Anolis sagrei: one gene and its partners. The protein of the gene in region 1 purifies or fractionates together with the protein of each later gene. This does not show direct contact. Links are inferred from orthologs where the notes say so. Each region holds a gene or a part of one and is shown on either strand. Other genes may lie near its edges. The genes, in order: KAT2B, GLI1, TAF10 and ATXN7L3.

Region 1 (7,849 bases):
GTTTAATCCTACTTTAATATTTTTACACAATGGATTTAAATTGTATTTTTAATTTTGTGTCTTGATCAAGAGATAAAAGTGAGATAATAATAAACATAAACATAAATATAAATAAAATAAATCAGTATGGGGCAATAGGTCACACAAATGGGTGCAAAATGGGGAAACTGAACTCAAGTCTTAGATTTGGAATTAAAAGGGATAAATTGGGAAACTCTTTGAGTTTGAGAGGCATGGGAGGAAGAGGAATTTGGCAATGAGAGTTTGAGCAATGTTATTCTGTGAGGAGAGGAATGGGAGAGGTTGATAGCTGCAAGTCATAGGTAACAAGGGACACACGACTAATACTAAACATGGGCAGTGTTTTTCTCACTACCTCTGAGGATGCTTGCCATAGATGCAGGCGAAACGTCAGGAGAGAATGCCTCTAGACCATGGCCATATAGCCGGAAAAAACCTACAACAACCCAGTGATTCCAGTCACAAAAGCCTTCGACAATACAGTGTTTTTCTTGATACGTAACTACCACCTGATTCTGCCTAGATCAAATGTGTGTACTTTCAGGCTGTCTGTCAATTTATGGCGATCCTATAACTTTCATAGGGTTTTCTTCAAAGTGGTTTTGTCAGGTTCACCTTGGTGGTCTCCCATCCTAGACCTAACCAAAGCTGACTCTACTTAGCTTACATGATGAGAGATATTTCTGTCTGTGAGGGATAAAAGCTTCCAAGCCAAGCTTTACATTCAAGCTGATATAACTATGTATTGTTGAAGCCTTTCATGGCCGGAATCACTGCATCGTTGTAGGTTTTTCCAGACTGTATGGCCATGTTCTAGAAGCATTCTCTCCTGATGTTTCACCTGCATCTGTGGCAAGCATCCTCAGAGGTTGTGTAGATGGGACCACAGACTTGGTGCATGGAGTTAGTTTCACTTAATTCGGATTAGTTACCCCCAATATGTGGTAACCATTGGGAAGGATGCATGTGCACTGTACAATTAATGCTGTTTGAGACCTCACAACCTCAGAGGGTGCTTGCCACAGATGCAGGCGAAAGGTCAGGAGATAATGCTTCTAGAACATGGCCATACACCCCGAAAAACCTACAACATTGCAGTGATATAACTATTTTAATACCTATTATATCAGGCATGGGCAAACTTCAGCCCTTTGAGTGTTTTGAACTTCAATTCCCAGAATTCCTGGCCTTGGGCCCATTCCTTTTCCGCCTCAGCTGCTGAGGCCAGGAATTCTGGGAGTTGAAGTCCAAAGCACCTGGAGCGGCGTGAGCTTCCGTTGCCAGCCCTAGCTTCTGCCAACCTAGCAGTTCAAAAACATGCAAATGTGAGTAGATCAATAGGTACCGCTCCAGCGGCTTAGAAATGGAGATGAGCACCACATCCGAGCGCCAGACATGACTGGACTTACTGTCAGGCAGGCATGTAGCGGGGGGGGGGGGGGGGGGGGCTTGAGGGGCTTTAGCCCCCCCCCCCCCCAAAAAAACTCTCATGGTGGTTTGCGAAAAGGCCTTACTGGTGCATTATTTAAACTGTTTATTCATATCATGATCTGATCACCATAGTCAATATATCCCATATGCATGGGGGTATTGGGGTAACGATACAAAAGGTTTGCTAGGCTAGACCCTCTTTCACTCAGACTCAGCCCCCCCCACCCGAAACAAACTCAGCCCCCCTCCCCCCGAATCGAAATCCTGGCTACCGGCCTGGTCACAGGTTCCATTTCAGGGAGCAGCATGAGCTTCTGCTGTCAGCCCTAGCTTCTGCCAACCTAGCAGTTCGAAAACATGCAAATGTGAGTAGATCAATAGGTACCGCTCCGGCAGGAAGGTAACGGCGCTTCATTCAGTCATGCTGGCCAGATGACCTTGGATGTGTCTATGGACAACGCCGGCTCTTCGGCTTAGAAATGGAGATGAACACCACACCCCAGAGTCAGACATGACTGGACTTACTTTACCTAATCCGAATTAAGTGAAACTAACTCCATGCACCAAGTCTGTGGTCCCATGTTCACTACTAATTCAGATTGAGCTGTATTCTATGGTCAGTGCAGATGGGGCCTGAGGTCGCATACTGTTTGAGCTTCGTTAGGAGAGGGAAACAGGATGTAAATACAACAACATTAGTAACAACAACAACTTTGCGCTTCTAGAGAGAAACTTGTTGCCAGCCAGACACCAAGTGGGAAAAAACCCCACACTCTATTGTGCGTGTCATTCTCTGTGTTTTGATCCTCTCCTTTTAATCCAAGGAGTCAGGCGCGACCCCTCCCTTGCCCTCTCCTCCTGTCACTCAATCCTCCGCCGACACCCAAGCGGGCGCCCCCTGTCGGCTGCCACGGGGAAGCGCGCCGCTCGCCTCTCCCGCTCCGGGTCTTGGGGCTTATGATGATTCCGGGGCCGGTGCTTACCTTGCAGGCGGAATAGACGCCCAACTTCTCCAGCTTCTTGGCGCGGGGTGCGGAGCGGAGCTGCGCCTTCTTGCCCGCGATGCGAGCCGAGCCGGGTCCCCCGCTGCCTGTCCCGCCCGTGCTGCTCCCGCTGCTGCTCCCTCCTCCTCCCGCTGCTGTTCCCGCTGCAGGGCTGGTTTCGGCGGGCGCAGGAGGAGTCGCGGCGGCCGGAGCTCGAGCGGGCGTCCCCGCTGAAGCCGGCGAGCCTTGCTGGAGCGCCCCGGCCCCGCCATTGCTGTTCCCCGCCTCGCCCTCCCCCGGCCCGGCCGCGCCAGCCTCAGCCATGGCGGGGTTGCGGTGTGGGAGTCGCTGCCGCCGCCGCCGCCAGGCTCGCTGAGGGCCGGGCTCGGGCGCCCGCTGGAGCCGCGCCTCCGCCTGCTGCTCCCTCGGGAGGGAGGGAGGGGACAGGCCGCACACCGCGGGCGGGTCCTGTCAGGAAAGGAGGAGGAGGAGGAGGAGGCGCCCGCTAAGGAGGCAGCAGCGCGCACAGCCAGCAGGCCGACATGTTGTTGTTGTGAGCGCCTTGCGGGCGGCACTCACCACACTGAGGCGTCCCTCGCCGGGTGCCTCAATGACGCGCCCTCAGAGTGTCACTGAGGGATTGAGGGAGGGTCGCAGTGGCTTCCACATCCCTCCGGTGTTTTGGACTCCAACTCCCACCATTCCTAACAGCCTCAGGCCCTTTCCTTTTCCCCCGCTTAAGCGGCAGAGGGGGGAAAGGAAAGGGCCTGAGGCTGTTAGGAATGGTGGGAGTTGGAGTCCAAAACACCCGGAGGACCGAAGTTTGCCCATGCCTGCTCAAGAGGTTACTTTTCTGAGGGTGAAGCCTTCACTTCCATATCCCTCAAAGGACTACTTTTCTGAGGGTGAAACCTCCACTTCCGTATCCCTAAAAGGGCTACTTTTCTGAGGGCGAAGCTTCCACTTCCATATCTTCCAAAAGGCTACTTTTCCGAGGGCAAAACCTGCAATTCTGTATCCCCCAAAGGGTTACTTTTCTGAGGGTAAAACCTTCACTTCCATACCCTTCGAAGGACTACTTTTCTGAGGGCGAAACCTCAACTTCTGTATCCCTCAAAGGGGTACTTTTCTGAGGGGGAAACCTCCACTTCCATATCCCTCAAAAGAGGCCCCGGTGGTGCAGTGGGTTAAACCCCTGTGCAGGCAGGACTGAAGACCCACAGGTCGCAGGTTCGAATCCGGGGAGAGGCGGATCAGCTCCAGCTCCTCATGCGGGGACATGAGAGAAATCTCCCACAAGGATGATAAAAACATCAAATCATCCGGGTGTCCCCTGGACAACGTCCTTGCAGACGGCCAATTCTCATACCAGAAGCGACTTGTAGTTTCTCAGGTCGCTCCTGACAATATATATATATATATATATCCCTTAAAAGATTAGTTTTCTGAGGTGAAATTTCCACTTCGGTATCCTCAAAGGGCTACTTTTCTGAGAGCAAAGCCTCCACTTCTGTATCCCCCAAAGAGCATCTTTTCTGAGGGTGAAATCTCCATTTTCGTATCCCGCAAAGGGCTACTCTTCTGGGGTGAAACCTCTACTTCCGCATCCCTCAACATGCTACTTTTCTGAGGGCAAAACCTACACTTCCATATCCCTTAAAGGGCTTTTTTTCTGAGGGATTGTTCTGAGGGCTAAACATCTGCAAAGGTGCAGAGGGCAAGATGAGCTTCTCAGAAAATAGTGCTTTATTTCTGGGAGTTTTAGGGAAAAACACCTTCTTCAGTAGCTCTCAGAAAGGAACCTTGAGGGAAAATTACTGTTCTGAGGACAAAATGTCCCATTTAGTGGCCCTCACTAAGAGGCTCGAGGGAGAAAGATTACAGTGGCAGAGGGAGCAGCAGGAGCTTCTCAAAAAACAACTTTACATGCATTCTGAGGGCAAAAATTGCCACTTCAATAGCCCTCAAAGGGCTACTTTTCTGAGGGATTGTTCTGAGGGCAACATGTTCACTTCAGTAGACCTCATGAAGGAACTTGAGGGAAAATTATTGTTCTGAGGGGGAAAAATCCTAAACACCTGGAGGGCTGAAGTTTGCCGATACCTGATTAAGCACCATTACACTGATGGTTTAATGTAGTCCGAAGCTAGCTTCACACTGCAATGGACATACAACAAACTTCCACAAAAGCGTGTGAAAGAAAGCCCTTAATGTGCATCACTGTTCCGTGGTTTGTGGCCCCATCTGTACTGACCATTTAATGCAATTTCAAATCAGCATTGAAAAAAGTGGTTTCAGTGTACAAATAATTACATAGGATATCCTGAAACCAATTGGAGACCTGGATAGTGATGATACAGGCCCCATCTACACTGACCATTGAATTCAGTTCAAAGCAAGTTTCAAACTGTGGTGGCCAATCAATAAATTCCCCAGAAAAGTGAGTGAAAGAAATCCTTTAATATTTCTAGGTAGTTTATTCGAATGGCACAAACTTCCATTTCAGTATCCCTCGGGGGTGGGGGTGGGGATTATTCAATTGTATGTTTTCCTATCTGTATATTGTAATCCACTGTGAGTCCCTCCGGGGAGATAGAGCAGAATATAAATAAAGTATTATTATTATTATTATTATTATTATTATTATTACTATTATAATTCTTGTTTTCAAATATGTATGTGCTGGAGTTTGGTTCCAGGGTTACATTTTATTTCACACACCTGTATTTGTCCACCAAAAATCTGTGCTTTTCATTTCCACTGTTTGCTCCCCACTCCCCCCCCCTTTTTTTTTTACAAGTCATGGAAGGTTGACTCCCTGGATAAAGAATGTGTGGATACAGAGGGCCGATTGTAAATATAACACTCTTGAGTAGGAATTAGTTCACAATGAACATAAGTCATAAAAGCACTCTCTAGTTCCTGCGGTTGTGCTACTTATTTGCTTGTTTAAAAATCTATACACTGTTCTTCAGCAATGCTTCTAAGGAGATAACTAAATCGAGATTAATTGTGATAAATCCCAGCATTTAAAAACAGGAATAACTTTGCCTGGCACGAAAAGTACTGCCACCATGCACACATCTCCAGGGAAGAAATTCCATGAATGGATAGGAGGAAAGGAAATCACAAAGTGAAAAAGCCCCCTCTCTGGTTTCCACCTTTCTTATCTCAAATGCCAGGAAGCCCTTCAAAGACAGCCTCAACACATGATTGGTACATGAGCAAAATCTTTCTTCAGGTACCGAGGCTCAAAACTGAATAAGTTTTAAAAGAAAACACCAGGACTTTGAACTGTGCTTGAAAACAGACTAAGCTGCCAGCGAAGTCCCTTAAGCTCTACCAAGGTAATATGTTCAAAAAGGCAAATAATGGTTCATAAGGTAGCAGCTGTATTTTGAAATCTCTGTAAATTGTTGCTGTTACATCTGTCATAAATTAATCCAAGCAAGTTTAATCAGTAAGAAACAGAAGGTGGAATGGACATTTAATTATTCTTATGTGGCTCTATAAGCTAATGCCATAAAGGGGAAATGTGCAAGTACACTCGACCCTCCACATCCATGGGTTCGCTACCCACAGATTCAACCAATGGCTTGAAAATATTTTGGAGAAAGAAGTCAAAAAACCAAACTTTAATTGGCTGTACACCAATTGGCTCTACACCTTATGTTTAGTCGTACCTTGCAGTAGCCTTGGACCATTTCACAGATCCTTAGGCTCTGGCATTTTTGAGGTGAAATAAAACCACACTGGATACCATTGTATGATGTAACATGGATATTGACTATAGTGTATAAGGTCTCTCTTCCAAGCCAGATGCGTTTTAAGGTCCTTGTCAGCACCATGGCAACATATTAACAGATGTCCAGGGTAGAGGGTTAATTTGTATTGCTCTCTCTCTCTCTCTCTCTTTTGCATTGGCTTGCCAGTTTGAGAATAAGTAAAGATATGAGAGCAGACTGGTCCTGCTCTCTATATCCCAGGACCTGATCCCAGATTATCTGATTTGAACTAGATTGTATGAGTCTACAGTGCCAGAAAATCAGGGATAAGAAAATAATCTGAGATCAGACCCTGGGATGTAGAGCAGTGTAGGTCCAGTCTGGGTAAGGAATTTTCCTCTGTTGCCAGTTCGCTTGAATAGTTCCGATTACAAATGAGATGAGGAGATGGATAATGGTTATGTACTTTGATTACTTTTTTGTGTTTGCACTATACCATATGATTCCCTTATCTGCGGAGGATAGTTTCCAAAATGTACTATACTGTGGAAAATGAAAATCGTGGATAATATTGAACCTGATTGAAATAATAATAGTATACTTTATTTATATTCTGCTCTATTTCCCCAAGGGGACTCAGGGTGGATTACAGAACACATATATGGCAAACATTCAATGCTGTTGTACAATTAACAAGAACGGACTATATAAACAGATGTAAAGGCTTTCCCATCTTTTTCCATTTCCGACATCTGGCTGTGCTCGACTCCAGCCGGGTGTATGTGTGTGTGTGCTGTCACTCAATTTTTCATGCCAAGGAGCCTTGTCATCCATAGACGTCCTCCCAATCAAATTGTCAGCATGTCCTTACGGGTGACTTTTATTACCTCCCCACTTTTAAAGTGGCACCTATTTATCTACTCATATTGCTGTTTTTGATCTGCTAGTTGAGCAGAAGCTGGGGCTGAGGGTGGGAGCTCACTCCAACCAGGGCTCGAATTACCAACCTAGGATTTTCTGCAGCTTAGCAGTTTAACCTGCAGTACAAAGCCTGGCCCCATAAGGAATCTCTTCCACCAAAGTTACTATGCAGCTGCCATAGAATCATTGTGAAGTTAAATGTATTGTCAAAGGCTTTCATGGCCAGAATCACTGGGTTGTTGTGAGTTTTCTGAGCTGTATGGCCATGTTTCGGAAGCATTCTCTCCTGACATTTCGCTTGTATCTATGGCAGGCATCCTCAGAGGTTGTGAGGTCTGAGTGTGAAGTTACCACAGAGTCAGCATAGATGTGCCCCTTATAGCAATATGTTTGGCACCGAAAGAAGTCTTGAAGAAACCTAGAACTACATCCAGTTCTGAAGCAGAACCATGGGTCAAATCCAGGGTGCATTCACACTGTAGAATTAATTCAGTTTTAACTACTATAACTCAGTACTGTGGAATCATGGGCATTGTAATTTTGCAAGGTCTTTAGCCATCCCTGCCAAAGAAATCCCAGTATTCAATGACATTGAGTCATAGCGGTTAAAAGGGTGTCAAACTCTATCAGTTTCATAGTCTGGATGCACTCCCAGACTTACACATGCAAAGAGATATCAATGGGACTTCAGCAAACAGCAGAAGACTAGCAAGGCATAGTGATTTCACTGGGCCTCTTTTAAATACACCTAACCTGGATCCAATTCGT
Region 2 (6,835 bases), on another chromosome or scaffold:
CACATAATTCTATATCTGTTTATTGCACGGTTTCTCCAAAGGCTTGATCAAAGAACCACGTTTTTACTCTCTCACTGAAGGTTAGGAGGGAGGGGGTTGATCTAATATTCCTTCAGAGGGAATTCCACAGCTGAGGGGCCATCACTGAGAAGGCCCTGTCTCTTGCCCCCACCAGTTGCACCTGCGAAGGAAGTGGGACCGAGACCAGGGCCTCCCCGGATCTTAAACTCTGAGATGGTTCATATGAGGAGATCTGTTAGGACAGGTAAGCTGGGCCGGAACCATTTAGGGCTTTATAGGCTAAAACCAGCACTTTGAATTGTGCTTGGTAGCAGACCGACAGTTAGTGGAGCTGACGCAACAGGGGAGTCTGCTCTGGTAAGCACTCTGGCTGCCGCCCATTGGACTATTTGAAGCTTCCAAACAGTCTTCAAGGGCAATCCTATGTAGAGCATGTTGAATTAATCTATATGGGTTGTAAACAGAGCATGGTCTACCATGGCCAAGTCTGACTTGCCAAAATACAGGCGCAACTGGCGCACAAGTTTTAATTGTGTGAATGCTTCCCTGGCCACTGCTGAAACCTGAGATTCCAGGCTCAGCAATGAGTCCAGGACTCCCAAGCTGCAAACCTGCACCTTCAGGGGGAGTGTAACCCCATCGAACACAGACTGTACCCTATACCATGCTTGGCTTTGTGACTGACCAGGAATACCTCTGTCTTGTCTGGATTCAATTTCAATTTGTTTGCTCCCATCCAGGCTGACACAGCTGCCAAGCACCGGTTCAAAACCTGAACAGAACCTACTTATTAGCAGGTGGAAAGGAGTAATAGAGTTGAATGTCATCTGCATACAGATGGCATCGAACTCCAAAACTCCGGATGATCTCTCCCAAGGGCTTCATATAGATGTTAAACAACCTGGGAGACAGTATTGAGCCCTGCAGGACCCCGAGCAGGTGTCCCCCAACAACACCTTCTGGGAATGACCCTCTCAGAAGGACAGGAGCCCCTACAGAACAGTACCTCCAAAGCCTATTCCTGTGAGGTGTTCAAACTACAGGAAAGGAGATGCCACCTGAACATGAGGAAGAACTTTCTAACAGTGAGAGCTGTTCAGCAGTGGAACTCTCTGCCCCAGAGTGTGGTGGAGGCTCCTTCTTTGGAGTCTGTTAAGAAGAGGCTGGATAGCCATCTGTCGGGGCTGCTTTGAATGTGATTTTCCTGCTTCTTGGCAGGGGGTTGGACTGGATGGCCCACGAGGTCTCTTCCAACTCAATGATTCTATGATTCTATGAAAGCCCTGAATGCATGCTGCATTGCCCAAACACTGTGCTGACAACTTGCCCTCTGCAACCACATGGAAGTGGCCACCGTAGCTAGCTATTACTATGTGCCATGATGGTGAAGGACGCCTCTCTGACCCCTTCAACACAGCTGAATAGACTCCAACAGTATCTGGTAGGCCTGGGTAACAACGGAAAAATTTGTTTCTAAAATCGATTCGTTTTTTGGGGGTTTTTGCGTTTCGTTATTTAAAATAATTACAAAATTTTCCTTTAAAAAAGTTCGATATTTACGAAATTTCGTAAATGTGAAAAAAATTACAAAACATTAACGAATCGATTTCCGAAACAATAACGAATCGATTCGTTAATGGCGGACGCGACCGCGAAATACGCTAAAAAACCTCCAAAAACTTCTGAAGCTTCCCTCTCCCTCTGTTGTTGACTGTTGGTGTGATATTATAATTTTTTTTCACTAATTAAACCATAAAACTGGCCCAGACATGCGGAAATAATAACAAAACGACCTCAGAACAATAACGAAACGAATACAATAACGAAATACGAAGCATTTGCAAAACGTGTTTAAAAATTCGTTTTTTTAAAAAATTGCTCCAGAATGGTTCGTTATCGTTTTGTAATTGAAAAAATTAACGAATTATTAACGAATTACGAATTAACGAAACGAAACCGCCCAGGCCTAGTATCTGGTATATATGGCAGTGGACTCAGGGCCCTTCCACACAGCCCTATATCCCAGAATATCAAGGCAGAAAATCCCACAATATCTGCCTTGAACTGGGTTATCTGAGGGCCTTTCCACACAGTCCAATATCCCAGAATATCAAGGCAGAAAATCCCACATTCTCTGAGTGTAGATTCACATAACCCAGGGCCCTTCCATACAGCCCTATATCCCAGAATACCAAGGCAGAAAATCCCACATTATTTGAGTGTGGACTCAGATAACCCAGTTCAAAGAAGATATTGTTGGGATTTTCTGCCTCGATATTTTGGGATACAGGGCTGTGTGGAAGGGCCCCTCAATAACCCAGTTGAAAACACATATTGTGGGATTTTCTGCCTTGATATTATGAGATATAGGTATTTGTGGAAGGGCCCTGAGTCCACACTCAGATAATACGAAATTTCCAGCCTCGATATTCTGGGATATAGTGCTGTGTTGAAGGGCCCAGGGTTATGTGAATCCACACTCAGAGAATGTGGGATTTTCTACCTTAATATTTTGGGATATAGGGCTGTGTGGAAGGGCCCTCAGATAACCCAGTTCAAAGCAAATATTGTGGGCTTTTCTGCCTTGATATTATGGGATATAGGGCTGTGTGGAAGGGCCCTGGGTTATCTAAGTCCACACTCAGATATTGTGGGCTTTTCTGCCTTGATATCCTGAGTTGTATGGCTGTGTGAAGGGCCCACAGAAAATCCAGTTCAAAGCAGATATTGTGGGTTTTCTGACTTGATATTCTGGATTATAGGGCTGTGTGGAAGGGCCCTGGGTTATCTGAGTCCAGACTCTGATAATGTGTGATTTTCTGCCTTGATATTCTGGGATATAGGGCTGTGCAGAAGGCCTTGGGTTATCTGAATCCCGACTCCGACAATGTGGGATTTTCTACTGTGATATTGTGGGTTATAGGGCTGTGTGGAAGGGCCCTGGGTTATGTGAATCCACACTCAGAGAATGTGGGATTTTCTGCCTTAATATTTTGGGATATAGGGCTGTGTGGAAGGGCCTCCAGATAACCCAGTTCAAACAAATATTGTGTGCTTTTCTGCCTTGGTATTATGGGATATAGGGCTGTGTGGAAGGGCCCTGGGTTATCTGAGTCCATACTCAGATATTGTGGGATTTTTTGCCTTGATATCCTGGGATATAGGGCTGTGTAGAAGGACCCTAAGTCTACACTCAGATTCTGTGGGATTTTCTGCCTTGATATTCTGGGATATAGGGCAGTGTAGAAGGGCCCTTCGATAACCGAGTTCAAAACAGATATTGTGAGATTTTATGCCCTGATATTATGGGATATAGGGCTGTGTCGAAGTGCCCCGAGTCCACACTCAGATATTGTGGGATTTTCTGCCTTGATATTCTGGGATATAGGGCTGTATGGAAGGGCCCTGGGTTATCTGAATCCACACTCATATATTGTGGGATTATCTGCCTTAATATCCTGCGTTATATGGCTGTGTGGAAGGCCCCTCAGATAACCCACTTCAAAGCAGATAATGTGGGCTTTTCTGCCTTGATATCCTGGGATACAGGGCTGTGTGGAAGGGCCCTGGGTAGAGTCCATGCTCAGATATTGTGAGATTTTCTGCCTTAATATCCTGGGTTATATGACTGTGTGGAAGGGGCCTCAGATAATCCAGTTCAAAGCAGATATTGTGGGATTTTCAGCCTTGATATCTTGGGTTATAGGGCTGTGTGGAAGGGCCCCCAAACTCCAGCCCGGATTTTCCAAGCTGCTTCAGAGGCTTGGGAGGCAGCATGCTGTGAGAACTGAGGCTGAGAGGGGCTCCTTCATCTCCAACCTCACACAGGGCTCAGCTTACCCTCCTCCTGCTGCTAAAGATCCCACCTTCTCAACAACAACAAAAAAGAAAGAAATCTTGAAAACTTTCCCTGAAAAAAAAAGAAAAAAAGAAAGAAAGCACCACCCTCTTCCTCCTCTTCTTCCTGAGCAGCCTGAAAGCCCTAAAGGGGAGTGTTGGGGGGAGAGATTTGGGGGAGAAAGAGGGGATCCCATCCCCTCCTGGCCCATCTCTCTGCTGCTGCTGCGCCCAGCCCTCCTTTCCCCAGCCGGCCGCCCAGGCGGAGCGGGCTGATTGGCTCCATGTGCCAAAGCTCAAGCAAAGCATCGGGAAAGTTTGGAAAGCAAACCAAAACTTCCTGCTTCAAGGTGGTCCTTCTCTCGGGCTCCAGACGGGAGGCTCGCACATTGATCATCGCGCCTGCTCCTGGGATGAAGTTGGTTTGATTTGAATCTCGGAGAAAAAGAAGAAGAAGGGGAGCAATATATATATTAATCAGCGTCGGTGGGATTTTCTGCCTCCCTTTTCTTTCCTCTACAAAAAGAAGGCAAAGCCACAATGTGGAAAATTTGGGGGATCTGGTGAAAGAAGCCACCCCCCTTCTCCCTCATCTCTTCTTCTTTCCTGATGGGGTTTTGTTGTTGTTGTTTGCGGGCGACACTCAGTAGCCCACCCTGGATGTTGCTAGCCTAGGGGAAACCAATCCGAAGAGAGAGGGAAACTGCCCATCTCGAGAAGCCCAAGAGCTGTGCTTGGGATCATCATGACTCCCCAACAATCCCCATCCAGGCTTTGAAAGGTAAGCTCTTTCTTCTTCAAAGCCCAGTTCTGTGTCTATTTGTGTGTATCTCCCATTGGTTTGGGGAGATGGACCTTATTTGTTTTGTTTTTGGCAACTGGCAGGTTTTGCCTTTCCAACACTCCTGAGTTTTTGTTTTTTTCTGACATGAGCAAAAAAGCAAGCAGCGTGGGTGGGAATTGGGAAAGGAATGGGAATGTTATGGGGTTTTTTTTCTTTCTTTCCTGAACTGCTACAAAGTTTGTCGGATTTGTCTCAACTTTCTTCAAAGGCCTCTTCCACACAGCTGTATAAAATCCACATTGGACTGAATTGTATGGCAGTGTGGACTCACATAATCCTGTCCCTGTGGATTCTCTGCTTTGATATTCTGGGTTATATGGCTGAGGCCCCTTCCAGACAGCTGAATAGAACCCAACAGTATCTGCTTTGAACTGGAATATATGGCAGTGTGGACTCAGACAACCCAGTTCAAAGCAGATATTATGGGATTGTCTGCCTTGACATTCTGGGTTATATGGCTGTGTGGAAGGGCCCCAAAAGGATTTTTGAAGGCTGGATCTATACTACCATATAGTCCAGGGGCCCTTCCACACAGCCATATAATCCAGAATATCAAGGCAGGAAATTCCACAATATCTGAGTGTAGACGCAGAACCTATCCACACAGCCCTGTAGCAAAAAATCCCACAATATCTGCTTTGAACTGGGTTATCTGAGAACCCTTCCACATAGCCCTATATCCCAGAATATCAAGGCAGGAAATCCGACAATATCTGCCTTGAATTGGAATATCTGAGGGCCCTTCCACACAACACTATATCCCAGAATATCAAGGCAGGAAATTCCACAATATCTGAGTGTAGACTCAGGACCTATCCACACAGCCCTGTAGCAAAAAATCCCACAATATCTGCTTTGAACAGCCCTATAGCAGAAAATCCCACAATATCTGCTTTGAACTGGGTTATCTGAGGACCCTTCCACATAGCCCTATATCCCAGAATATCAAGGCAGGAAATCCCACAATATCTGCTTTGAATTGGAATATCTGAGGGCTCTTCCACACAACACTATATCCCAGAATATCAAGGCAGGAAATTCCACAATATCTGAGTGTAGACTCAGGGCCCTTTGACACAGCCTTATATCCCATAATATCAAGGCAGAAAATCTCACAATATCTGTTTTGAATTGGAATATCTGAGGGCCCTTCCACACAGCCCTATATCCCATAATATCAAGGTGGGAAATCCCACAATATCTGCTTTGAAGTGGGTTATCGAAGGGCCCTTCCACACTGCACTATATCCCAGAATATCAAGGCAGGAAATCCCACATTGTCTGAGTGTGGACTCAGGGCCCTTCTACAAATTCCTATATCTCATAATATCAAGGCAGAAAATCCCACAATATCTGCTTTGAACTGGGTTATCGAAGGGCCCTTCCACACAGCCCTATATCCCATAATATCAAGGCAGGAAATCTCACAATATCTGCTTTGAACTGGGTTATCTGAGTCCACACTCAGATAATGTGGGATTTTCTGTCTTGATATTCTGGGGTATAGGGTTGTTTGGAAGGCCCAGAATCCACACTTCCATATATCCCAGTTCAAAACAGATAATGTGGTATTTTATTCAGATGTGTGGATGGGGCCCAGGTTATCAAAGCAGATCATCCACATCATCTCTGTTGAAGTGGATTCTATGAGGTCCCTTCTACACTGCCGTATAAAATCCAGATGATTTGCTTTGAACTGAATTATGTGGCAGTGCAGACTCCCATAATCCAGTTCAAAGCCAAAAATGTGCATCGTCTGATTTGATAATCTGGATTATATGGCAGTATAAAAGGGCCCTGAGTCTACACTGCCATATAATCCAGGTCAAAGGAGATAATTTGGGTCATATATGATAGTGTAGATGGGGCTGAAAACACATCTTGTCCAGGAAGAAGTTGGTGAGCTCCTGTCTTGAAACCCGGCCTCAAAAGCAAACTTTTGAGGGTGGTAAACTTTCTGATTCCAAGCAAGTTTCTACACTTTCAGAATTTTGATTGTTGGCCAGACCCAACAGAGAACGGACATTGCCAGATTGCTCTCCGCACCCCTCTCACATCTTTTCTTTCTGTCAGATTTTGATTCAACCACCCAAAAGAAGTCTCCATCAATCCTGTTCTGCAAAATCATAGAAA
Region 3 (7,632 bases), on another chromosome or scaffold:
TTCCGTGGCTATACGGATGGCCAGGGAATCTTTCACGACCACCCGTATAGCGTCTGCAGCAAATAGATCATCAGAGCTGTTTCGGGTTGTCGGGGAGCTTCTTCACCCACCTGTGGTGGAGGGGATCATTGATGACCCAGCAGCTCGGTGTTGCGACTTCGCACACCATTTTGCAGGCAAAGTTGCTCAGATACGCCTTGAGCTTGACTCCAATTCCATCGCAGTGCCAGAGGAGGTGACGGAGGCATCTGCTTGTCCAATTTTGTGGGATTCTTTTAGGCTTGTTCTTCCTGAGACCATGGGGGAGGTCCTTGGGGCCGTGAGGGCGACCACTTCGACTCTAGACCCTTGCCCATCTTGGCTTATTAAATCTGCCAAGGAAGGGTTGGTTGATTGGTGTTGACTGTTAACGCATCGTTGGAGCAAGGGAATTTTCCATCTAACTTGAAACAGGCTGTGGTTCGCCCACTCCTCAAAAAGCCTTCCCTTGACTCCACGGTGCTGAACAATTATAGGTCAATCTCCAACCTCCCTTTTTTGGGTAAGGTGCTGGAGCAGGTGGTTGCCTCCCAGCTCCAGGGCTTCCTAGACAACATCAACTACCTAGATCAGTCACAGTCAGGTTTCAGGCCTGGTCATGGCACCGAGACAGCCTTGGTCGCCTTGGTTGATGACCTCTGTAGAGAGCTGGACAGGGGGAGTGTGACTCTGCTGGTTCTCTTGGACATCTCAGCGACTTTCGATACCATCGACCATGGTATCCTTCTGGGTCGCCTCTCTGGGATGGGCCTTGGGGGCACGGTTCTGTCGTGGCTCCGGTCCTTCCTGGAGGGACGAACCCAGATGGTGAAGCTGGGAGACACCTGCTCTGACCCCTGGCCTTTGACCTGTGGGGTCCCACAAGACTCCATTCTGTCTCCCATGCTTTTTAACATCTACATGAAACCGCTGGGAGAGGTCATCCGGAGTTTTGGAGTTGGGTGCCATCTCTATGCGGATGACGCACAACTCTACTACTCCTTTCCACCTAATTCCAAGGAGGCCTCTCGGGTGCTGGACGAGTGCCTGGCCGCTGTGTCTATCTGGATGAGGAGGAACAAGCTGAAGATCAATCCTGACAAGACAGAGGTCCTCCTGGTCGATCGCAAACCAGACCGGGATATAGGGTGGCTGCCTGTGTTGGACGGGGTTACACTCCCCCTGAAGCCACAGGTCCGTAGCTTGGGAGTCCTCCTGGATTCATCGCTCACGCTTGAGGCTCAGGCGTCGGCCGGGAGGGCTTTTGCACAATTGAGACTTGTGCACCAGCTGCGTCCGTACCTCGCGAAGGCTGATCTGGCCGGGGTGGTCCATGCCTTGGTTACCTCTAGACTGGATTACTGCAACGCGCTCTACGTGGGGCTGCCCTTGAAAACGGCTCGGAAATTCCAATTGGTCCAACGGGCAGCGGCCAGGATGTTAACTGGGGCCCACTACAGAGAGAGGTCAACCCTCCTGTTTAAGGAACTCCACTGGCTGCCGTTTATTTTCTGAGCCCAATTTAAGGTGCAGGTGCTTACCTACAAAGCCCTGAACGGTTTGGGACCACCCTACCTGCGTGACCGTATCGCTGTCTACGAACCCACACGCTCACATCAGGAGAGGCTCTGCTCGTGATCTCGCCCGTGTCGCAAGCGCGCTTGGTGGGGACACGAGACAGGACTCTGGAACGCCCTCCTGAAAGATCAGACAAGCCCCTACATTGGCTGTCTTCAGAAAGGAATTGAAGACCTGGCTGTTCCGATGTGCCTTTTCAAATTAGGAACCTCCAGCACCAAATCCTAGAAGCACCTTAGTAGAACCAAGATCACTGCACACTGCACATCGCACTTATATCTAATCCTACATCTGTCCTGCCACACCAGCACTTTTTAACCCAGTACCCCTACTCTGGCCGGCTCAGTTTTAATAGTGTTTTGTTGTATTGTTACTGTTATTGTTTTCCTGCTTAACTGTTTTTAATTTGCTTCGGGTATTGTATTGTTGTATTGTGTTTTGGGGCTTCGGCCTGTGTGAGCCGCATTGAATCCCTTGGGGAGATGTATACAAATAAAGTTATAATAATAATAATAATAATGAGGGGCCACCACCGAGAAGGCCCTGCTCCTCGTCCCCACCAACCTCACTTGTGATAGAGGTGGGGCCGAAAGCAGGGCCTCCCCAGAAGATCTTAGACTCCGGGGTGGGACGCTTAAGCGGCTGAGGGGGAAATGGAAGGGGGCTGAGGCCAGGAATGCTGGGAATTGGAGTCCCAAACCCCTGAAGGAAGGAAGGGAGGGAGGGGGAGAAGGGCCTGCAGTGCTGCCACTCACGGTAGGCGTGTAGTCCTCGAGCTGGAGCAGGAAGTCGACGAGGGGGGCGGCGGAGGCGTTGGCGGCAGCGGCGGAAGGGGAGGCGGCGGAAGCGGAAGCAGCGGCGTTCGAGGGGGGAGGCGGGGCGGAGGAGGCAGAGGCGGGGGAGGCGGCGGCGGAGAATGCGCATGCGCCGCCGGGCTTGGCCTCCGCGTTGGCCGGCAGCGCGAAGAGACCCCCGTTGGGCGCCGAGGAGGAGGACGACGAGGAGGAACTGGAGGAGGAGCTGGACGAGGAAGAGCTCGAGGAGGAGGAAGGAGGGCCTTCAGCCGGGACGGGAGCCGAGGGAAGGAGCAGGACGGCGGTGGGGAGGGAGGGGGCCGTGGCGGGGGGAAGAGGAGGAGGAGGCGCGGAGGAGGAAGCGGAAGTGGAGGCCGCAAGGCCTGTCCCCGCGCCGGGGCTGCTGCTGCTTCCGCTTCCGGCCTTGGAGGGGGCTTCTGCGGAGGGAGGGGCTGCCGAGGCGACGCCGGAGGGGGGAGGCGCGGCGCCGGAGGGAGCCCCGGGCCCGGCCTCGCCCTCCCCGCTTCCCGCTCCGCCTGTCGAGCTCATCGGGTCGGCCGGGAGAAGTGGCGCATGCGCACCATGCTCTCGCCCACTTCCGGAAATGGCCGCTGCTCTTGAAACCACGCCTAATCGAAGGCCGGGCGAAGTGGCGCATGCGCACCACACTCATAACACTTCCAGAATGGCCGCTGCTCCTGAAGCCACGCCCCCTCGAAGGCCGGGCGAAGTGGCGCATGCGCACCACGCTCTCGCCCACTTCCGGAAATGGCCGCTGCTCTTGAAGCCACGCCCCCTCGAAGGCCGGGCGAAGTGGCGCATGCGCACCACACTCACACCCACTTCCAGAATGGCCGCTGCTCCTGAAGCCACGCCCCCTCGAAGGCCGGGCGAAGTGGCGCATGCGCACCACACTCACGCCCACTTCCGGAAATGGTCCGCTGCTCCTGAAGTGCACTCACATCCGGGTCTAGCCCTGACCAGAGTACCCGGATGTTAGACTTGGTTGGTTTATATATCCCGCTTTATCCCTCTCTATATTATCCCAACATGACATGTGTTGTTGTTCATTCGTTCAGTCGTCTCCGATTCTTCGTGACCTCATGGACCAGCCCACGCCAGAGCTCCCTGTCGGCCGTCACCTCCCCCAGCTCCTTCAAGGTCAGTCCATGTAATATACATGTAATATACATGCAATATATAAATATTCCAGTTTTGTTTTGCAGTTTGACTTGAAAAAACCAGGTTGTACGTTTCATACAAATTAGGAATGAGTTTTTTTTAAAACATTATTTATTTATTATTTATGTATTTGCTTTGCTTCTCTACGGCTGTATCTCAAGCCCGAAGGCGACTCACAGCGGTTCACAAACAGTAAAAACAGTAGAAACAGCAGTGGTTCCATACAACATAGAACAATTGACTTAACACATTATCCATAAATTACCAATAAGCAATTACAATGCACAATTATGACAAAAAACAACCGTACCCAACCTTCTCATCATCCAAGCGTAGTCCAGGTTCGTCGTCCATTGTTCCATTCCGATGTTCCATTACCAGATTGCACTAAATTACTCAAACGCCTGCACAAACATCCAGGTCTTCACCTTTTTGCGGAATACCATTAGAGATGGTGCCAGTCTAATGTCCGCAGGAAGGGCGTTCCACAGCCGAGGAGCCACCACCGAGAAGGCCCTATCTCTCGTCCCCGCCAGCTGAGCTTGAGAAGCAGGCGGGATCGAGAGCAGGGTCTCCCCGGAAGATCTCAAAGTCCTGGTGGGTTCATAGGCAGAGATGCGGTCGGATAGGTAGCTTGGGCCGGAACCGTTTAGGGCTTTAAAGGCCAACGCCAGCACTTTGAATTCAGCCCGGTAGCAGATCGGTAGCCGGTGGAGTTGGCGCAACAGGGGGGTTGTATGCTCCCTGCGCTCCGCTCCTGTTAAAATCATGGCTGCCGAGCGTTGGACTAGTTGGAGCTTCCGAGCTGTCTTCAAAGGCAACCCCACGTAGAGAGCGTTGCAGTAGTCAAGGCGGGATGTAACCAGAGCGTGGACTAATTTTATTAGGAGATGCTTCCAGGTTGTACTTTTGATACAAATTAAAAAATGAGGTTTTTAATATTTTTAATTTTTAGTATTTTTAATTTTTAATATTTTATATATATATATATATATATATATATATATATAATTTTTATATTTTATATTTATATTTATTTTAATATATATATTTATAATTTTATATTATATATATATAATATAATAAATAATAATTTTAATATAATCTAATTATCATATTTATATGTATATATTAAATGTTTTATATTTATATATTAAATAAATATTTATTTATATTTATATATTAAATAAAATTAATAATTTTAATATTTAATAAATCATAAATTTAATATAATATTCCAATAACTATAATATTACATATTGCATTTTTATTATTATATTATTTTACGTAAAGGTTTTTAAGATCTTTATTAAGAGACACTTGCAGTTTGACTTGAAAAAATCAGGTTGTATGTTTCATACAAATTAAAAATGAGGTATTCAATACTTTTAAATTTTAGTATTTTTAATATTTAATATTTATATTTATATATTTATATGTATGGATTAAATATATTTTATATTTTAATGTTTATGTTTATATATTAAAGAAATATTTATATCTATTTATATTTATATATTCAATAACAATTAAAAATTTAATATTTAATAAAGAAAAATAATATAATATTCCAATCATTATAATGTTATATACTGCATTTTTATTATTATATTGTTTTAAAACATATTAAGAGATGCTTGCAGTTTGACTTGAAAAAATCAGGTTGTACGTTTCATACAAATTAAAAATGAGGTATTTAATATTTTTAATATTTAATATTTAAAATATATATTTATATATTAAATAAATATTTTATATTATGTTATATATATAATATTTAATACATAAGTTTAATATAATAATCCAATTATTATAATATTACATATTGCATTTTTATTATTAAAAACTGCTTGGCTGCAGAAGTTGCAAACCAGAAGATTGGCAGTCCAAACCCAGGGGGCGAGGTGAGCTCCCACTGTCAGCCCCAGCTTCTGCCAACCTAGCAGTTAGAAAACATGCAAAAGTGCATATATCAATAAGTACTGCACCAGCGGGAAGGTAATGGCACTCGTGTGTCTATGGATAATGCCGACTCTTCAGCTTACAAATGGAGGTGAGCACCAGAGTCCCAGAGTTGGACACAGATAGTCTTAAGGTCAAGGGGAAACCTTTACCTTAGTATTATATAGTATGCTGTATCATAAGTTGCAGTATATATAATGTATTACAACATCATTAATATTATATGTTGTTGTTCATTCGTTCAGTCGTCTCCGACTGTTCGTGACCTCATGGAGCAGCCCACGCCAGAGCTCCCTGTCGGCCGTCACCACCCCCAGCTCCTCCAAGGTCAGTCCAGTCCCTTCAAGGATGCCATCCATCCATCTTGCCCTTGGTCGGCCCCTCTTCCTTTTGCCTTCCACTTTCCCCAGCATCATTCCCTTCTCTAGGCTTTCCTGTCTCCTCATGATGTGGCCAAAGGATTTCAGCTTTCCCTCTCGTCTCCTTCCCTCCAGTGAGCTTTAGTCGGGCTTTATTTCCTGGAGGATGGACTGGTTGGATCTTCTTGCAGTCCAAGGCACTCTCAGCACTTTCCTCCAGCACCACAGCTCAAAAGCATCGATCTTCCTTCGCTCAGCCTTCCCTAAGGTCCATCTCTCACCTCCGTAGATGTGACTACAGGGAAGAGCATGGCTTGGACTAGGCAATGGATCTTGGTTGCCAGTCTGATGTCTCTACTCTTCACTATTTTATCGAGATTGGACCTTGCTCTCCTCCCAAGAAGGAAGCGTCTTCTGATTTCCTGGCCACAGTCTTCATCTGCAGCAATCTTTGCGCCTAGAAATACAAAGTCTGTCACGGCCTCCACGGTTTCTCCCTCTATTTCCCAGTTGTCAATCATTCTTGTTGCCATAATCTTGGTTTTTTTGACGTTTAGCTGCAACCCGGCTTTTGCGCTTTCTTCTTTCACCTTGATTAGAAGGCTCCTCGGCTCCTCCTCGCTTTCGGCCATCAGAGTGGTGTCATCTGCATATCTGAGGTTGTTAATGTTTCTTCCAGCAATTTTCACCCCAGCTTTGCATTCATCCAGCCCCGCACATCGCATGATGTGTTCTGCATACACGTTAAAAAGGTTGGGTGAGAGTATGCAGCCTTGCCGGACGCCTTTCCCAATCTTGAACCAGTCTGTTGTTCCGTGGTCAGTTCTGACTGTTGCTCCTTGGTCCTTGGACAGATTCCTCAGGAGAGAGACAAGGTGGCTTGGGATGCCCATCCCACCAAGAACTTGCCACAATTTATGATGATCCACACAGTCAAAGGCTTTAGAATAGTCAATGAAGCAGAAGTAGATGTTTTTCTGACACTCCCTGCCTTTCTCCATTCTCCAGCATCCAGATATTTGCAACCTGGTCTCTGGTTCCTCTGCCTTTTCTAAACCCAGCTTGAACATCTGGCAACTCTCGCTCCATGTATTGCTGGAGTCTTCCTTGCAGGATCTTGAGCATTCCCTTACTGGCATGAGGAGAAATAAGGGCCACTGTACGGAAGTTGGAGCAGTCTTTCGCATTTCCCTTTTTTGGTATGGGGATATACGTTGATTTTTTCCAGTCTGATGGCCATTCTTGTGTTTTCCATATTTGCTGGCATATGGCATGCATCACCTTGACAGCATCATATGATATATGTCTGTGTGTGTATGTGTGTGTATATATATATATATATATATTAGTGTTCTTACACTACAATGTTATTATTTCTATAATTTTTTGTTGTTTACTCATTCAATCGCTTCCGACTCTGCCTGACCTCCTGGACCAGACCAGCCCAGAGTTCCCTGCCAGACGTCTCTCTGGTTGCACTGATCCAGTTAGTTTTCCTGGCAAGAATACTGGGGTGGGTTGCCATGATCTTCCCCAGGGATCATATTTAGTCTGACCTCTTGTCTTGGGTGTCCCTTCACAGTTTCACTCGTGGCATCATCAAGTCGCTCAAGCTCCAGCACCGCAACAAGGCAACTATCCTTTGCCGGAAGATCTGTATATATTGTATACGTTGCAGCGGCCTTTAAGGAGGCACTTTTTTTGTTGTGTCAACTTGAGAAACTGCAAGTCGCTTCTGG
Region 4 (7,273 bases), about 43 Mb from region 1:
ATAGACTCTACCTAATTTCCCGGACACTAGCCCCGGCCTGGCCTTTTAAACTGCCTTGAACAGGCAGGATTATTTTAAATATTTATGTGCTATTGTGGTTTTTATGCTTATATTGTCTTGTGAATTGTTTGTTTATGCTGTTTTCCTTGTATGTATTTTTTTTAAATTGAAGCAAAACCATTTTTATTGATCAGCCAATTGGCCTTATCATAACACACAATATAAGCACAATGTACAGTATACATCTGTTGTTGTTCATTCGTTCAGTCGTCTCCGACTCTTCGTGACCTCATGGACCAGCCCACGCCAGAGCTCCCTGTCAGCCGTTACCACCCCCAGCTCCCTCAAGGTCAGTCCAGTCACTTCAAGGATGCCATCCATCCATCTTGCCCTTGGTCGGCCCCTCTTCCTTTTGCCTTCCACTTTCCCCAGCATAATTGTCTTCTCTAGGCTTTCCTGTCTCCTCATGATGTGGCCAAAGTACTTCAACTTTGTCTCTAGTATCTTTCCCTCCAGTGAGCAGTCGGGCTTTATTTCCTGGAGGATGGACTGGTTGGATCTTCTCGCAGTCCAAGGCACTCTCAGAACTTTCCTCCAACACCACAGCTCAAAAGCATCGATCTTCCTTCGCTCAGCCTTCCCTAAGGTCCAGCTCTCACATCCGTAGGTTACTACAGGGAATACCATGGCTTTGACTAGGCGGATCTTTGTTGCCAGTCTGATGTCTCTACTCTTTACTATTTTATCGAGATTGGACATTGCTCTCCTCCCAAGAAGTAAGCGTCTTCTGATTTCCTGGCTACAGTCTGCATCTGCAGTAATCTTTGCACCTAGAAATACAAAGTCTGTCACGGCCTCCACATTTTCTCCCTCTATTTTCCAGTTGTCAATCATTCTTGTTGCCATAATCTTGGTTTTTTTGACGTTTAGCTGCAACCCGGCTTTTGCGCTTTCTTCTTTCACCTTGATTAGAAGGCTCCTCAGCTCCTCCTCGCTTTCGGCCATCAAAGTGGTGTCATCTGCATATCTGAGGTTGTTAATGTTTCTTCCAGCAATTTTCACCCCAGCTTTGCATTCATCCAGCCCCGCACATCGCATGATGTGTTCTGCATACAAGTTAAAAAGGTTGGGTGAGAGTATGCAGCCTTGCCGTATGCCTTTCCCAATCTTGAACCAGTCTGTTGTTCCGTGGTCAGTTCTGACTGTTGCTACTTGGTCCTTGTACAGATTCCTCAGGAGAGAGACAAGGTGGTTTGGGATGCCCATCCCGCTAAGAACTTGCCACAATTTATTATGATCCACACAGTCAAAGGCTTTAGAATAGTCAATGAAGCAGAAGTAGATGTTTTTCTGAAACTCCCTGCCTTTCTCCATTATCCAGCGGATATTGGCTATCTGGTCTCTCGTTCCTCTGCCTTTTCTAAACCCAGCTTGAACATCTGGCAACTCTCGCTCCATGTATTGCTGGAGTCTTCCTTGCAGGATCTTGAGCATTACCTTACTGGCATGAGAAATAAGGGCCACTGTACGGAAGTTTGAGCAGTCTTTCGCATTTCCCTTTTTTGGTATGGGGATATAAGTTGATTTTTTCCAGTCTGATGGCCATTCTTGTGTTTTCCATGTTTGCTGGCAAATGGCATGCATCACCTTGACAGCATCATCTTTTAAGATTTTAAACAGTTCAGCTGGGATCCCGTCATCTCCTGCTGCCTTGTTGTTGGCAATGCTTTTTAAGGCCCATTCAACCTCACTCCTCAGGATGTCTGGTTCTAATTCATTCACCACACCGTCAAAACTATCCTCAATATTATTATCCTTCCTATACAGATCTTCCGTATAGTCTCGCCACCTTCTCTTGATCTCTTCAGCTTCTGTTAGGTCCCTGCCATCTTTGTTTCTTATCATACCAATTTTTGCCTGAAATTTACCTCCAAGGTTTCTAATTTTCTGGAAGAGGTCTCGTGTTCTTCCTATTCTGTTGTCTTCTTCCACTTCCATGCATTGCTTATTTAAAAATAGTTCCTTATCTCTTCTGGCTAACATCTAGGCTGAGTAAAATTATAAATATACAAGTACAGAGAGAAAAAGAGGGGGTGGCCAATTTGTAACCAAATACACCTTAATCTTAAGTATACACAGGCCTGTAGCCAGGATTTTGATGGGGGGGGGGGGGGGGGCTGAGTCTGAGTGAAAGAGGGTCTACCCTAGCAAATCTTTTGTATTGTTACTCCAATACAATATTGAGTATGGTGATCACATCATGATATGAATAAACATAACAGTTTAAATAATGCACCAGTAAGGCCTTCTCGTGGACCATCATGAGAATTTGGGGGGGGGGGGGCTGAAGTCCCTCAAGCCCCCCCCCCCCCCCCCGGTTACATGCCTGAGTATACACCGTATATACTGAAAAGGTCTGTTGGTTGTTTTGCTTGCTTGTTTGCATGCTGCATGTCGCTTCTGGTCACTTCTGGAATGAGAGAATCAGCCATCTACGAAGACGTTGCCCAGGGGATGCTTGGATTTCTTGCAATCCTGCGAGGAGGCTTCTCTCATGTCCCCAGGCAAAGCCGGTATTGCACCACCTGACATTCACTGGGAAGTAGCAACTAATAGTGAAAGGACCAAGGCTGTGACATCTCCAGCTCATCCCCTGTTTGGGTATCAGCCAGCTCGTCAATGACTTAAATCAAGAAATAGTTTTCTAAGATCCACAGAGACACTCGCTGGAACACCTCAGCAAGCAAGAGTCCAAAAGTGGCAGGCTCAAACGTATATACTCAAATATAAGTACTATAAATACATAAATACTTATTTGAGTATATACGGTTTGTTTATTTATCGTGTCAGGGACAGACCAAACAGTTGCACTGCATTTTTAACAAACAAACAAAACAAAACAAAGTTTGCAGGCTTGGCAGTTGATTAAATGTCCTTTGATCAGTATCTGGCCACTTGGAGTGCCTCTGGTGTTGCTGCAAGAAGGTCCTCCATTGTGCATGTGGCAGGGCTCAGGTTGCATTGCAGCAGATGGTCTGTAGTCTGCTCTTCTCCACACTCGCATGTTGTGGATTCCACTTTGTAGCCCCATTTCTTGAGGTTGGCTCTGCATCTCGTGGTGCCAGAACGCAGTCTGTTCAGTGCCTTCCAAGTCGCCCAGTTTTCTGTGTGCCCAGGGGGGAGTCTCTCATTTGGTATCAGCCATTGGTTGAGTTGCTGGGTTTGAGCCTGCCACTTTTGGACTCTCGCTTGCTGAGGACCTTCTTGCAGCAACACCAGAGGCACTCCAAGTGGCCAGATACTGGTCAAAGGACATTTAATCAACTGCCAAGCCTGCAAACTTTGTTTTGTTTTGTTTTGTTTGTTTGTTTGTTAAAAATGTAATGCAACTGTTTGGTCTGCCCCTGACACGATAAATAAATAAACCGTATATTCTCTGCCAACCTAGCAGTTCGAAAACATGCAAATGTGAGTAGATCAATAGGTACCGCTCCGGCGGGAAGGTAACGGTGGCGCAGTGGGTTAAAGCACTGAGCTGCTGAGCTTGTTGATTGAAAGGTCGCAGGTTCGATTCCGGGGAGCGGCGTGAGCTTCCGCTGTCAGCCCTAGCTTCTGCCAACCTAGCAGTTCGAAAACATGCAAATGTGAGTAGATCAATAGGTACCTCTCCGGCGGGAAGGTAATGGCGCTCCATGCAGTCATGCCGGCCACATGACCATGGAGGTGTCTACGGACAACGCTGGCTCTTTGGCTTAGAAATGGAGATGAGCACCACACTCCAGAGTCAGACATGACTGGACTTAATGTCAGGGGACTACCTTTACCTTTATATACTCAAATATAAGTATTGTATGTATTGATTATGCTATTTGGAAACCGCTCTAAGTCCCCTCGGGGAGATAGAGCGGTATATAAATAAAGTTTTGTTGTTGTTGTAGAAGAGTAGTTAAAAGTTGGATTCAGTTCTGGTGTAAATCAAAACCCTGGTCCTCCAGGTGTTTTGGACTCCAATTCCCAGAAGCCTCAGCTGCTTGGGACAATGATGAGGGATTCTGGGAGATGAAGGCAAAAAAGAAAGAGCTTGGGCAACACTGATGGAATAAGATGCGCCCAGCCTCTACAGCAGCAGCAGCAGCTCTTCCTCGCATACAACCTTGAATGACAGGAGGGGGAAAAGGATGGCTGCGATTGGCTGGCTTCCTCCCCCTCGCGCTGCTCTTAGGCGTGCGCTTCCTCCTCCTCCGCGGCCTTCCCCGCCAGGCCCCGCCTCCTTGCCGGAGCCTAGCGAGCTAGGTTGCGCTCCGATTGCAAAAGGTGGCCCCCTCCCCTTTCCCTTTCCCTATTGCTGCCGCCGATGCTGGAGCTGGAGGGAAGGCGGCGGCGGAGGCGGAGGCGGAGGAGGAGGCGCTAGGCCGGACTGGCTCCCTTCTTGCCCGGGCCCGGCGGGGAGGGGGCATGGCTGCGTCGCCGGGGGCCCAGCACGCCGCCTGGGGGCCAGGCATGGGGGCCCTTCGCCCGCCTCAGGAGAGAGTGGGGGGTAAGTCCCCAGGGGAGGAGGAGGAGTGGAGAGGGAGGGAGCGGGAATCAGGGCTCTGCACTGAAGGGAAACAAAAGGGGATGGAGGAGGAGGAGGGACCTCGCTTCACCCTGCTCCTTCTACACTGGAGAATTAATCCAGTTTGGTCCCACTTTAGCTGCCACACCTTCAAGGCTGGCCCATGCTGGGAGAGACCTCAGTTAACCCTGCTGTGGGATCATGGGATCTGTGGTTTTCTTTACCAGGCCTCTGACTTCTTTCTGCACAAGAGTGCCTCACCAAACTACAGCTCCCATCTTTAAACTGTCTTGCTATGGGATCTGTAGTTTTATTTACCAGGCCTCTAGCTTCTCTCTTCCCGAGAGTGCCTCACTAAACTACAGCTCCCATCTTTAAATTGCCATGCTATGAGATCTGTAGTTTTATTTACCAGGCTTCTATCTTCTTTCTGCACAAGAGTGCCTCACTAAACTACAGCTCCCATCTTTAAATTGCCATGCTATGAGATCATGGGATCTTTAGTTTTGTTTATCAGGCCTCTAGATTCTTTCTTCCCAAGAGTGCCTCACCAAACTACAGCTCCCATCTTTAAATTGTCATGGCTCCATGCTATGGGATCATGGGATCTGTAGCTTTGTTTACCAGGCCTCTAACTTCTTTCTGCTCGAGAGTGTCTCACCAAGCTACAGCTCCCATCTTTAAATTGCCATACTATGAGATCTGTAGTTTTATTTACCAGGCTTCTAGCTTCTTTCTGCCCAAGAGTGCCTCACCAAACTACAGCTCCCATCTTTAAGTTGTCATGGCTCCATGATATGGAATCATGGGATATGTAGTTTTATTTACCAGGCCTCTAGCATCTTTCTGCCCAAGAGTGCCTCACCAAACTACGGCTCCCATCTTTAAATTGTCATGGTTCCATGCTATGGGATCTGTAGCTTTGTTTACCAGGCTCTAACTTCTTTCTGTCCAAGAGTGCCTCACCAAACTACAGCTCCCATCTTTAAATTGTCATGGCCCCATGCTATGGGATCATGGGATCTGTAGCTTTGTTTACCAGGCCTCTAACCTCTATCTGCTCAAGAGTGTCTCACCAAGCTACAGCTCTCATCTTTAAACTGCCATGCTATGAGATCATGGGATCTTTAGTTTTCTTTACCAGGCCTCTAGCGTCTTTCTGCCCAAGAGCAGCTCACTAAACTACATCTCCCATCTTTAAACATCCATGCTTTGGGATCCTGGGATCTGTAGTTTTATTTACCAGGCCTCTAGCTTCTTTCTGCCAGAAGTACCTCACCAAACTGCAGCTCCCGTCTTCATGTTCAAGGGGTGCACCTGCATTGTAATTAATGCAGCTCGGTCGCAGTTCAAACTACAATACGATGATGGGAGTTGTGGCTTGTACCAGGTCTTGGGCTTTCTCTGCCCAAGAGTGTCTGTGCTCCTCCAAACTACAGCTCCCATCTCCATGCTCAAGGGGTGCATCCACACTTTGGGAGGGAACTCAGGCCCCTTCCACACAGCTGTATAAAATGCACATTGAATAATAACAACAACAACAACAACAACAACAACTTTATTCTTATATCCCATAGCCATCTCCCTGAAGGGACTGGGGCAGCTTACACAAGGTACAAGGTGCTTAAATCAAGACATGATGATGATATAATAATAATAATAATAATAATACTTTATTTATACCCCGCCACCATCTCCCCAAGGGACTCGGAGCGGCTTACATGAGGCCAAGCCCAACAACACATCAATAAAACAAGTAATAAACAAAATAAACACTACAATTAGTATAACTCACACGTAGACAATAAACACAAGAATTAAAAAACCTATGCTTTATTCAGTTGTATAAAATACAACTGAATAAAGCATATAAACATGTAACAAAAAGATAAAACTCAGAATAAAACAGAACTGGAATATATGACAGTGTGGACTCAGATAATCCAGTTCAAAGCAGATATTGTGGATTATCTGCCTTGATATTCTGGGTTATGTGGCTGTGTGGAAGGGCCCTCTATTAATTCTGTTTAATGTGTTAATATTTGTAGATTTTAAGCCATATTGAAATGTTTTTAATGTACGCCTCTTTGAGTCTCCTTGTGGAGAGAAAAAGCAGGGTATAAACGAACAGAATAATACCAACAACAAAAACAACATTGGTCGGTGTATAGAATTGATGAAGTTTGGCCCCACTTGAACTACCATGGTTCTATGCAGTAGATTAATGGGAGTTGTAGTGTTACTTTCTCGCCTTCTCTTTCCAAAAGAGGGTTGATGCCTCACCAAACTATGTAGCTCCCATTCTTCCATAGCATTGAGTCCATGGCAGTTCAGGTGAGGCCAAATAGTCCTGCTGCCTCACCAAATTACAAATTCCAGGGTTCTGCTGCATTGTGCCATGGCAGTTAAAAGTAGGGTCAAATGGCATTAATTTCACACTGTAGATCGGGGGGGGGGGGTGTCATCAAACCTTTTAAACAGAGGGCCAGGTCACAGTCTCTCAAACTGTTGGAGGGCTGGATTATAATTTGAAAAAACATGAATGAATTCCTATGCACACTGCACATATCTTATTTGTAGTGCAAAAAACACTTAAAAACAATACAATAGTTAAAATGAGGAACAATTCTAACAAATATAAACTTGTTATTATTTCAGTGGAAAGTGTGGGCCTGCTTTTGGCTGATGAGATAGGATTGTTGTTGTGTGCTTTCAAGT

Evidence for each region.
Region 2: the proteins of KAT2B (region 1) and GLI1 purify together in Homo sapiens (affinity purification with western blotting; 3 studies listed by BioGRID). This does not show direct contact. The link is inferred for Anolis sagrei from reciprocal best matches to the Homo sapiens genes KAT2B and GLI1.
Region 3: the proteins of KAT2B (region 1) and TAF10 purify together in Homo sapiens (affinity purification with mass spectrometry; 6 studies listed by BioGRID and IntAct, with this or other methods). This does not show direct contact. The link is inferred for Anolis sagrei from reciprocal best matches to the Homo sapiens genes KAT2B and TAF10.
Region 4: the proteins of KAT2B (region 1) and ATXN7L3 purify together in Homo sapiens (affinity purification with mass spectrometry; 5 studies listed by BioGRID and IntAct, counting the BioPlex papers as one, with this or other methods). This does not show direct contact. The link is inferred for Anolis sagrei from reciprocal best matches to the Homo sapiens genes KAT2B and ATXN7L3.

Annotation. Positions count from the first base shown.
Region 1 is NC_090026.1:87,238,609-87,246,457, forward strand, and holds the start of KAT2B (histone acetyltransferase KAT2B), read right to left. Parts: upstream 3,007-7,849; 5' UTR 2,760-3,006; coding exon 2,436-2,759; intron 1-2,435. UniProt on the Homo sapiens protein: Functions as a histone acetyltransferase (HAT) to promote transcriptional activation. Has significant histone acetyltransferase activity with core histones (H3 and H4), and also with nucleosome core particles.
Region 2 is NC_090022.1:185,742,017-185,748,851, forward strand, and holds the start of GLI1 (zinc finger protein GLI1), read left to right. Parts: upstream 1-3,826; 5' UTR 3,827-4,639; intron 4,640-6,835. UniProt on the Homo sapiens protein: Acts as a transcriptional activator. Binds to the DNA consensus sequence 5'-GACCACCCA-3'. Regulates the transcription of specific genes during normal development.
Region 3 is NC_090023.1:1,018,053-1,025,684, reverse strand, and holds the start of TAF10 (transcription initiation factor TFIID subunit 10), read right to left. Parts: upstream 3,013-7,632; 5' UTR 2,940-3,012; coding exon 2,352-2,939; intron 1-2,351. UniProt on the Homo sapiens protein: The TFIID basal transcription factor complex plays a major role in the initiation of RNA polymerase II (Pol II)-dependent transcription.
Region 4 is NC_090026.1:44,623,998-44,631,270, forward strand, and holds the start of ATXN7L3 (ataxin-7-like protein 3), read left to right. Parts: upstream 1-4,257; 5' UTR 4,258-4,537; intron 4,538-7,273. UniProt on the Homo sapiens protein: Component of the transcription regulatory histone acetylation (HAT) complex SAGA, a multiprotein complex that activates transcription by remodeling chromatin and mediating histone acetylation and deubiquitination.